2 linked regions of the Macaca fascicularis genome follow. The main gene of each other region encodes a partner of the protein of the gene in region 2 in a complex. Links are inferred from orthologs where the notes say so. Each region holds a gene or a part of one and is shown on either strand. Other genes may lie near its edges.

Region 1 (5,196 bases), on a different chromosome or scaffold from region 2:
CTTGATTTCCTGACCTCATGATCCGCCCACGTCAGCCTCCCAAAGTGCTGGGATTACAGGCGTGAGCCACCAAGTCCGGCCAAGTGTACCATAGACATTTGTATGTCATTCTCTGAATTTGTTTCCCAGACAGAAGCTCAGAGCCTGATATCTGTCACATCTAATCCTGACTCCCAGTTCCCCCTATACCACACTATCTTTCAAATACTGACTGCTCACTTAGTACTAGGTGCATGGCCTGCAGGAGGAGGTGGGAACACTGGGAACAAGATCTGATTCTTGACTAGAGAGCTGAAAGAAACCATAAACCAAACACTACAGGAATGCGCCCTTCTGGCTGGGGTTTTGTGGGAAAGGAGAGATTTGTGAGTTTTTGTGTTGAGAAGACTGGGATGGTTGGGATCTCTTGGTTTCTAAATCTGTTAAAAAGACCACCACCCACCACCTCATGAGTCCTATCCTGTCTTGTGGAATCAGAATTACTGAAGTGGAGCCCAGGCATTTTTTTAAAAAGTTCCCTTGGTGATTGTTTTCCTTAGCAAGTCTTGGGAAGTGCCTTCCAGATAGAGGAAATAGTTGGAGAAATATGGAAGTCAGCATAAGACATATGTGGAGAGCAGAGTGTAATCTGATTATTGATTTTAGCTGGAGTTGGGAGTGGATTAGGGAATATTGGGAGAGAGAAGGCTGTAAGGGTGATTTGAGCTGGCCTGTAGAAGGCCTTAGCTGCCAGGCCTGGGTGTGTAGACTTTATTTGGTAAATAAAGGGCAAGTGTGGAAGAGTTTTGTGTAGGGGATAAGCATGCTTTCTTGTGGCAGGGCAGGGGAGACTTGAGGGTGGGTGAGTGGTCAGAGGTGGGGACCCCCTTGTTGGGAAGTGATGCATGATCTCAGTTGCAGTATTTGAATTACTAGGGTGCTAATGGTGGTCCTGGGAAGGAAGGGAGCAGAGCACAAGGGCTTTTCAAAGGAAGGGCATGTTGGATTTGCGAGGGATTGGTTGGGCAGGGTGGAAGACAGTCAGAGCTAGATCTTACTGTTCACTAATGTGGCACAAAGTGTTGGGTAAAGGACTATGGTGAGCAGATAGGATACTACTGGGAGACCACCTTGGATTCATCTTTGTTTCCTCTCTAGCCCATGGCACTTATATCTAGTCAGTTGCCTGTAGCTGGGTCAAGTGAGGTAGGGGGCCAGATCTCCATCATCAGAAGTGACTCATGGGAGTCAGTAAAACTTCTGGGGTTGGGGCCTTGGAGAGTCTCAAATGGTTGCTGTGGTTTTTCCTTTTATTTTTATAGATTTGGGGGATACCAGTACAGTTTTGCTACATGGATATAATGCATAGTGGTGAAGTCTAGGCTTTTAATGTAACCATGATCCAAATAGTGAACATTGTACCCAGTAGGTAATTTTTCAACCCTCTCTTGGTTGCTGTGGTTTTGGAGACAGGTTCATGGTGAAGCTGGCTGAAGAGACAGATGGGATAATTGTCTCCAATGACCAGTTCCGGGACCTGGCGGAGGAGTCTGAGAAGTGGATGGCAATCATCAGAGAACGGTGAGGGAGCCCTCCTGCTGAGAATTGGGCACAGATGCAGATGTTTTTCTAAAGCCAGCTCTGCTCTGGCCATGGGGTGAAAACTCTGGGAAGCAGGTGAAGTTTTCTTGAAGGATGGAGCCAGCAGCTTCTGGTGATACTGGTCTCAGTCGTCTGGGAGGTGGGCCAGGGCCCCCTCTGTGACCACATATCTTTCGCCATCCAGCCTGCTGCCCTTTACCTTTGTGGGAAACCTCTTCATGGTACCTGATGACCCACTGGGACGAAACGGCCCCACCCTGGATGAATTTCTGAAGAAGCCAGCCAGGTAATCCTTCCCCTAGACTACTTGCGGGCAGCCCCCACCCCTGGCCCTCTCTCAGCAGGCCCAGAGACTTGGGTGGAAGTGTGATCTCAGTTTGAGTTGCCTTGGCCTTTATAAGCTTCCCAGGGGATCCTGACATAGAACCTCCTTGCTGGTAGGGAAACACCTGCTTCCTGTTTCTCTTAATCAGCATGTTTGATGGAGTTATTTGGAAAACGGTTGCTTATACTGAGATCCAGTTGTATTCGGCATGCCTTCTACTGACCATTACATAAGTGATTCATTTAGGACTAGAACTAGATCATAATAGTGGCAGAGTTCACCCTGGTTCCAAAAGAACGGCCCAGCTCCCCTTCAGAAGTGGGTTGATACTGCCACTCAGTGGTCAGCTTCAGGAACTTCAGGGTTTCTCCCCTAAAGCCAAGAATAGGCAGGACAATTAAGAGAGGGGTAGCCCACTAAGATCTAATTTCCCCCCAGGATGCTCATCAGCTCTTTTTGGTCTGTTTCTTCCTAGGACACAAGGGTCTTCTAAGGCTCAGCATCCTTCCAGGGGCTTTGCAGAACATGGTAAACAGCAGCACGGGAGAGAAGAGGAAAAAGGTAGTGGTGGCATTCGGAAGACCCGGGAAACAGAGCGGCTCCGGCGGCAGCTGCTGGAGGTGTTTTGGGGTCAGGATCACAAGGTGGACTTCATCCTGCAGCGGGAGCCATACTGCCGGGACATTAACCAACTGTCTGAGGCCCTGCTCAGTCTTAACTTTTGAGCCTCACCTGCTTGAGTGGTTGCCGCCCCGTCAGCTCCAGCTGCCTCCAGCTCAGCCCTTTCTGTGAGAGTCCCTCTGCTGCTCACACTCTGATCCAGAGGCACCCTGAGTTGATGCTTTGGATCAGGGAAGCCACTTTGGGACAGGTCCATAAAGTGACCTGATCTTACCGAGTGAGGACCTCAGCCAGCTCTCAAGAGGTTCTGCTCAGCCTTAACTTCTCAACTTTGCCTTAGCACAGGGTTTCTGTAGGGAGTAGGGGCTGCTGGAGAGGATTAGTTCTGGACACTGAGACTGTTGGCTCCACCTCCAAGCTGAGCTGGGGTGGAGGGCAGGGTGGGCGGGAACTGACAGGAAGTTAAGCTGTTCCTCTCTCTGGCTGCTGCTGTGGATGGCCAGAGGACAGGATACTCCCTGGCTGAGCTCCTGGGAGTGTGGAAGGAGACGCTGGGCCCTGGAAGGGCCACAGCGTTATGTGGATGGGGCCACGATAGAATGGAGTGAGCTAGTGAAGAAGGCAGAGGGAGACTTGGCTTCTGGTCTCAGCTATGCCTGTTTGTGACCTTGATTGAGTTGCTTGGGCTTTACTTCCGCCTACAAATCAGTGGTAAAAATACCTGTTGGGAGGAGAAATGAGAACATAGAGGAAAGCTTCTTGGAGAAAAGGTGCTTGGACCAAGTCTCAGGTGTGTCTGCCTGTGGCTGCACAGGCTCTCTAACCAAAACCTCACTTTCAGAGAGATGTGGGTCCTTTGTCTTCAGGGTCCACACCCTAGATTTTAACACTGCATTCTCACTATAACATGCCCTATAATGGCTGCATCCCTTTTGAGCAACCTCCAAAATCCACGTTTATACAATAGGTAAATTAGGGATGACTGCATTATCAGAATACTCTCAGGGTTCCTATAAATGGCAGCTCTCCTGTTGTATTCAAGTGTTTGTTTACAGACTAACAAATTTGTTGGCAAATCCCTGGTTAGATGCACTTGCTGGTGTTGAGATGAACACGTCGATTTTTCACCAAATCGATGAAGCCATGCTCTGCAATGACAATATTAATGTGATCCAACCCTAACATTTTCTCTATGGAAGATATATGTTGCATAAAGTGAGGCACACTTCTGCTTTATGTATGTGTGTATGGGGATGGGAAGACTTAACGGAAGTTGAACCAGTTGGTTCTAGATGAACCAATTATCTGGAAAATGAAATAACCAGAGTTGGAAGGCACTTGACTGGCCACCAAACCAACTCTGCTGTCACTAACATGCTCTCTCCACCCTGATTCCTACAGGTCATTGCCCTTGGTCTGCTTGAAGTCCTCCTGTGCCAGGGAATTTACTATCTCCAAGGTAGCACATTCCCTGTGTAGATGGTATTAATCAGTACTCCTTCCTTTAGTGCAGCCTAAAGTATGCTTTTCTGTTACGTCTACCTTTGAGGCTGGTCATACCCCCAGGAACAATACAGAGCCAGTCAACTTCCTGGAATCCAAGACCAGATAAAGAAGTAGGACAGGTGCCCCTGGATTCTGTTCTATGTGGGCCCTGTGGTGAGTCTCTGGATAAGATCTTTTCCAGGCCGTGACTTTTGCCTCCCTCTGAATGGCACAGGGAGTTGAATACTGCATGGAGAATGTAACGATGATGGGGAGGGTCCTTGGGTCCTTGTGTCCTCACCCCTCCCTTTTTGGTGATTTACACCACTGTACCATACTGACCCAGGCTGGGGGCAGGTGTGTTGGAGACAGGCTGGTCAAGGAGGTGACAGTGATTCAGAGATAACCCAGAGGTCCCTGAGAAGAAGAGACTGGTTAATATGGCCTGAACTGGTGGCTGGGGGAACTGTGTCTGATCAAGTTATGGCAGATGTCACAGCTTTAGGTAGGTAAAAAGGGTCTTAGGTGAAAACTTGGGAGGTTTTTTTTTCTCCGGATAGGGTTGTTTATAGTTCTTGATTGGTATCTTGCCCTTTTCACTTTCAGTGATGGTGGGTGTACAGTAGACCAAAAGTATCTTCTGCCCTTTTGTGCTAACGGCGCTGGTTGACTTGAGTGGCCCCAGTCAGATGAGAGGCAAGTCCTAAACTTCTTATAGACAGGGATGTTGGCTTTGTTCTGCTGCAGCCTGATAAACTGGGACCACTGTGTGGTTAGTAATGCACTTGCCATTTGGTGACACAGACTGAAGTCTATCCTACACCTGGGCCTCACCTCTTCCTCTACTGGCATTCTAATGGCACTCTGACAGCATCCAGGGTGACTACAGGGCCCACTGGAAATGGATCATCATTCTGTCTTCTAGTGCCTACCTTTATCATAACCAGATGTCCCAAACTTGTGACAAGCTCTTTTGGCAACTGAAGGACCAAGAAGGGAGAGGGTGATGAGAGAGACTGCCCATTATAACTTTCAAAACCCCGTCTTGGGGGAAGAATCATCTAGGGTGACATTCCTTGAAGTAAATCGTAGGCGAATCTAGGCCAGAGAGATGAGCCAAGGTTAGTGAGATAATTTATCTTTATTGCCTAAACTGCAGAGCATTCTCTACACAGCATAAAGGA
Region 2 (5,196 bases):
AGGCATGGTAGCTTACACCTGTAATTCCTGTACTTTGGGAGGCTGAGCCCAGGAGTTGGAGACCAGCTTGGGCAACATGGCGAGACCCTAATTTTTTGTTTTAATTACAAAAAAATGTTTTTAATTACCTGGGCGTGGTGGCACATGCCTGTAGTCTCATCTACTCAGGAGGCTGAGGTGGGAGGATTGCTTGAGCCCGAAGTTTGAGGCTGCAGTGAGCTGTGATTTTGCCATTGCACTCCAGCCTGGGCAATAGAGCTATACTTTGTCTCAAAAAAAAAAAAAAAAATTAAATGATTGCAAATGTCGGGCTGCTATAGAGAGAAATAATAGGTCCAGGTGTGGTAGCTCACGCCCATAATCCCAGCACTTTGGGAGACTGAGGCAGGCAGATCACTTGAGGTCAGGAGTTCAAGACCAGCCTGGTCAACATGGTGAAACCCCATCTCTACTAAAAATACAAAAATTAGCTGGGTGCAGTGGCATGTGCCTGTAATCCCAGCTACTTGGGAGGCTGAGGCAGGATAATCCCTTGAACCCGGGAGGCAGAGGTTGCAGTGAGCCAAAATCGTGCCACTGCACACCAGCCTGGGCGACAGAGCAAGACTCCATCTCAAAAAAAAAGAACAGGTCCTGTGGACAGCTAACCCAGCTAGAGAGGTGTTCCCAAAGATTGGGCTAGAGTAGGATTCCCCTGCCTTGTAGAGTCACCACATAGTGGAGAAGGGAGAAGTGGTACAAGATATGACCATAAAGAGCTAAACTTGACTGTAAGGGCATGGGAAACTAATGAAAGGTTTCAAGCTGGGGAATGAATTTACTGATGAGATTTCATAAGTTTATTAAGTTTAAATGTATCAGTGAAACTTACCTAGAAGTGTTTGAAGGAAATGGGAAATGTAACCATCTTGAGTGACATATAACAGGTGAAATTAAAACCCATCAGTTTCTTACAGGTCTATCCTATGTTAGAATCCAAACAAATATTTATCCTAAAAAATGAAATGTTAGGCTAGGCACTGTGGCTCATTCCTGTAATCCCAGCACTTTGGGAGGCTGAGGTGGGTGAATCACCTAAGGTCAGGAGTTTGAGACCAGCCTGACCAACATGGTGAAACCCCCTCTCTAATAAAAATACAAAGTTAGTCAGGGGTGGTGGCACATGCCTGTAGTCCTGGCTACTCGGGAGGCTGAGGCACGAGAGTTGATTGATCACAAGAAGGGGAGGCTACAGTGATCCGAGATCCTGCTACTGCACTCCAGCCTCAGCTACAGAGGAAAACTGTCTCAAAAAAGAAAAAAAAAAAGCACTTAGAAATGTAGGAATAGAAATGAAGTTTCTTAACACAATAAAGGGAATTTAAAAAAAAGAAAATACAGATTCCAGATTACATAAGTGTGTTATAAAAAAACTGATGCAACAAAAACGAAAATCGACAAATGTCATCAAACTAAACAGCTTCTCCACAGCAAAGGAAACAATTAACAAAGTGAACAGACAAACCCACAGAGTGGAAGAAAATATTTGCATGCCATACATCTGATAAGGGATTAATATCCAAAATGTATAAGGAACTCAAACAATTCAACAGCAAGAGAACAAACAACCCGATTTTAAAATGCGCAAGCTGTTCCCATAAGTGGCCTGAGGTGATCTGTGAAATGGTTCGCTGTTCACTTGACCCAGAAAACTCCATGAAATCATGCAAATAAAGAGGTTCAAATCTTCATGTTCACTTTAAGAACACCCATGAGACTGCCCAGGCCATCAAGAGTATGCCTATATGAAAAGCCAGCAAGTGTCCGAAAGATGTCGCTGTATAGAAACAATGTGTATCATGCCAACGTTCCAAGGGTGGAGTTGGTAGGAGTGCCCAGGCCAAACAGTGGGGCTGGTCACACAGTTGGTGACCCAAAAAGAGTTGAATTTTTGATGTACACACTTAAAAATGCAGAGAGTAATGCTGAACTTAAGGGTTGAGCTGTAGATTCTTTGGTCATCAAGGATATTCAGGTGAACAAAGCACCAAAGATGTGCCACCTGACTTCCAGAGCTCATGGTTGGATTAACTCATGCCTGAGCTCCCCCTGCCATATAGAGACAATCTTCACTGAAAAAGAACACCGTGTTCTTAAACCAGAAGAGGAGGTGCCCGGAAGAAAAAACTATCCCAGAAGATACTGAAGAAGCAAAAACTTATGGCACAGGAATAAATTCAGCATAAAATACGTGCAAATAAAAGTTTCAAAAATGAGCAAAAGACTTGAATAGACATTTCTCAAAAGAAGAAATACAAATGGCCAATGAGTTCATGAAAAAATGCTCAACATCATTAATCATCAGGGAAATGCAAATTAAAACCACAACGAGCTGTTGCCTCATACCAATTAGAATTAGAGGCTGAGGTGGGAAGATTGCTTGAGCCCAGGACGTCAAGCCTGCAGTGAGCCAAGATTGCACCACTGCACTTCAGCCTGGGCGACAGACGACAGAGACCCCGTCTCAAAAACAACAACAACAACAGCAGCAAAAAAAAAAAAAAAAAAAGAGAGAGAGAGAGAGAGAGTTGAATGTAGTGACATAGTAAGACTTCCAGGACTAAAGTGGAAAAAAAAGTTGTAGAACAGTTCATATATTATGATCCTATCTATGAACAAATAGAACAGTTCATATATTATGATCCTATCTATGAACAAATAAACCACCATAAAACTATATTAGAGTATATGCACATATATGTATGTGAATGCATAGAAACAGGTGTGAAAGAATTCCCACCAGCCATAAACTGTTTTGGGAAGAGGGGTGGGATTGGATGTGGTAGATCAGTATAGGTAGACTTCCATATTTCACTTTAAATATAGTAGAACATTATGTGCATAGAATATCTAGTATCTGACCTATTCAGGATAAGCAATGTTTCTGGAATTGAAACATCTAACTATAAAATGGTAAAAAGAACAAAAACAAAGTAAATGCAAAGTATATTAAACATTTGTTACCACAGATAAATTCATTTTACTTATTGATTCTTGCATGGAAATTGGAGTTGGCAATATCTACTCATGGTCTTTAAAATGACAGAGTAGCCCTGGCCGGGCGCGGTGGCTCACGCCTGTAATCCCAGCACTTTAGGAGGCCGAGGTGGGCAGATCACGAGGTCAGGAGATCAAGACCATCCTGGCTAACACGGTGAAACCCCGTCTCTACTAAAAATACAAAAAATGAGCCGGGCGTGGTGGTGGGCGCCTGTAGTCCAGCTACGTGGGAGGCTGAGGCAGGAGAATGGCGTGAACCTGGGAGGCGGAGCTTGCAGTGAGCCAAGATCGCACCATTGCACTCCAGCCTGGGTGACAGAGCGAGACTCCGTCTCAAAAAAAAAAAAAAAAAAAAAAATGACAGAGTAGCTTTCTTAAAAAATATTATTTGTATTTTTTGATAGATTCTCACTCTGTTTCCCAGGCTGGAGTGCAGTGGTGTGATTCTAGCTTACTGCAGCCTCAGCTTCCTGGGCTCAATCAATCCTGCCTCAGCTTCCTGAGTAGCTGGGATTATAAGTGCACACCACCATGCCCGGCTAATTTTTAAATTTTTTGTAGAGATGGAGTCTCCCCATGTTGCCCAGGCTGGTCTTAAATTCCTAGGTTCAAGTGATCCACCCGCCTCAACCTCCCATAATACTGGGATTACAGACATGAGCCACTGCACCTGCCCAGAGTAGCACTTGACAATGATAAAAATAAAAATCTTAACTTGGCAGGAAATTGTTGGTCTGCTGTGTATGGAAGCAGCAATCATAATCTGAGGTTGTTTTAGAGAGGACAAAGCATCAACTGACTCATCAGTTCCAAGTTGGCTCAATTCAGTTCACACTGGGTGAACTGCATGAATTGGGCCACTGTGTCATTCTCATTTGGTCATTGCACCCAATGGTTCACACTATCAGCATGAGCTCTGCACTGTAGCAAATATTCCTCAGTCATTTCTATAGGGTTATATACTGTATTTAAGTTTGCCTGCATCATGAACATGTTTTTAAGTGCAAAGAAAAGTTTATAAGTATCAGTAAGGTATTATTGACATATGCTTAGTCCACGCCCATCTGACTATGTATAACTAATCTTATAAACTGCATACCTTCTTTTATAATATGTCTTAACCTTTCTTTCTGATTCTTTCTAGGAAGTTACTTTGCAAAAGATGCCATCTATTCCCACAAAAATTGCCCATATGATGCCAAAAACATCGTTATGTTTGTAGCCCGAGTTCTGGTTGGAAATTTTATTGAAGGAAATGTGTCGTACATGAGCCCTCCTCAGCCATACAACAGCTTTGTGGATACCAGGTTGAATCCCTCCGTTTTTGTCATCTTTGAGAAAGATCAGATTTACCCACAATATGTGATTGAATATACTGATGCAGACAAAGCCTGCGTGATTAGTTAGAACCGATGAATACAGCGTCAGAAGGATGCCATAACCATTCTGTTCCCTTACAGAACTAAATTGCCCCAGACAGGAGTTAAAGTTTTATATTTTCCTGCCCAGTTATCTAATGCCTTAGATCAGTGGTCCCCAAACTTCACTACACATTTGAATCATCTGGGAAGTTTTAAACAAATTCTGATGCCCAGGTTGCCCCCCATGCCAATGAAATCATTTCTGGGCTTCAGCGACAGGCAGTTGTATTTTTTTTTTTTTTTTTTTTTTTTTTTTTTGGAGATGGAGCCTCACTCCATCGCCCAGGCTGGAGTGCTGTGCCACGATCTCGGCTCACTGCAACCTCTGCCTCCCGGATTCAAGCAATTCTTCTGCCTCAGCCTCCCGAGTAGCTGGAACTACAGACACACACTGCCACGCCCAGCTAAGTTTTTGTATTTTTTTAGTAGAGACAGGAATTCACTGTGTTGCCCAGGCTGGTCTCAAACTCCTGAGCTTAGGCAATCTGCCCGCCTTGGCCTCCCAAAGTGTTAGGATTACAGGCGTGAGCCACCACGCCCTGCTAGCAGTCGTATTTTTTAAAGTCCTTCTGATGATTCCAATGTGTTGGAAAGTTTGTCTTGTCTCAGATGTAACTGGTAAAGTTTGATTTCTAAATTTTCTGTAATTGCAGCAACCTTTCCCTCCTGTCTACCCTTTTAGTTTACTGTATGCCATGGTTTTGTTTTGGTTACATTGAAAGAAAGTTAATTTGGA

What was found.
Region 1: the proteins of ZC3HAV1 (region 2) and KHNYN are in contact, whole or in part, in a crystal structure (PDB 9BGL), measured with the Homo sapiens proteins. The link is inferred for Macaca fascicularis from reciprocal best matches to the Homo sapiens genes ZC3HAV1 and KHNYN. Residues at the interface, in NP_064504.2 of Homo sapiens: Glu5, Val6, Cys8, Phe9, Lys12, Ile13, Ala16, His17, Glu29, Ile30, Ala31, Leu32, Leu113, Glu115, Phe118, Ser127, Gly128, Leu129, Asn130, Glu133; in NP_001277186.1 of Homo sapiens: His651, Lys652, Asp654, Phe655, Gln658, Arg659, Pro661, Tyr662, Asn677, Phe678.

The regions. Positions count from the first base shown.
Region 1 is NC_088381.1:92,254,934-92,260,129, forward strand, and holds part of KHNYN (protein KHNYN), read left to right. Parts: intron 1-1,452; coding exon 1,453-1,560; intron 1,561-1,765; coding exon 1,766-1,867; intron 1,868-2,381; coding exon 2,382-2,631; 3' UTR 2,632-5,196.
Region 2 is NC_088377.1:180,719,502-180,724,697, reverse strand, and holds part of ZC3HAV1 (zinc finger CCCH-type antiviral protein 1), read left to right. Parts: intron 1-4,183; coding exon 4,184-4,446; 3' UTR 4,447-5,196.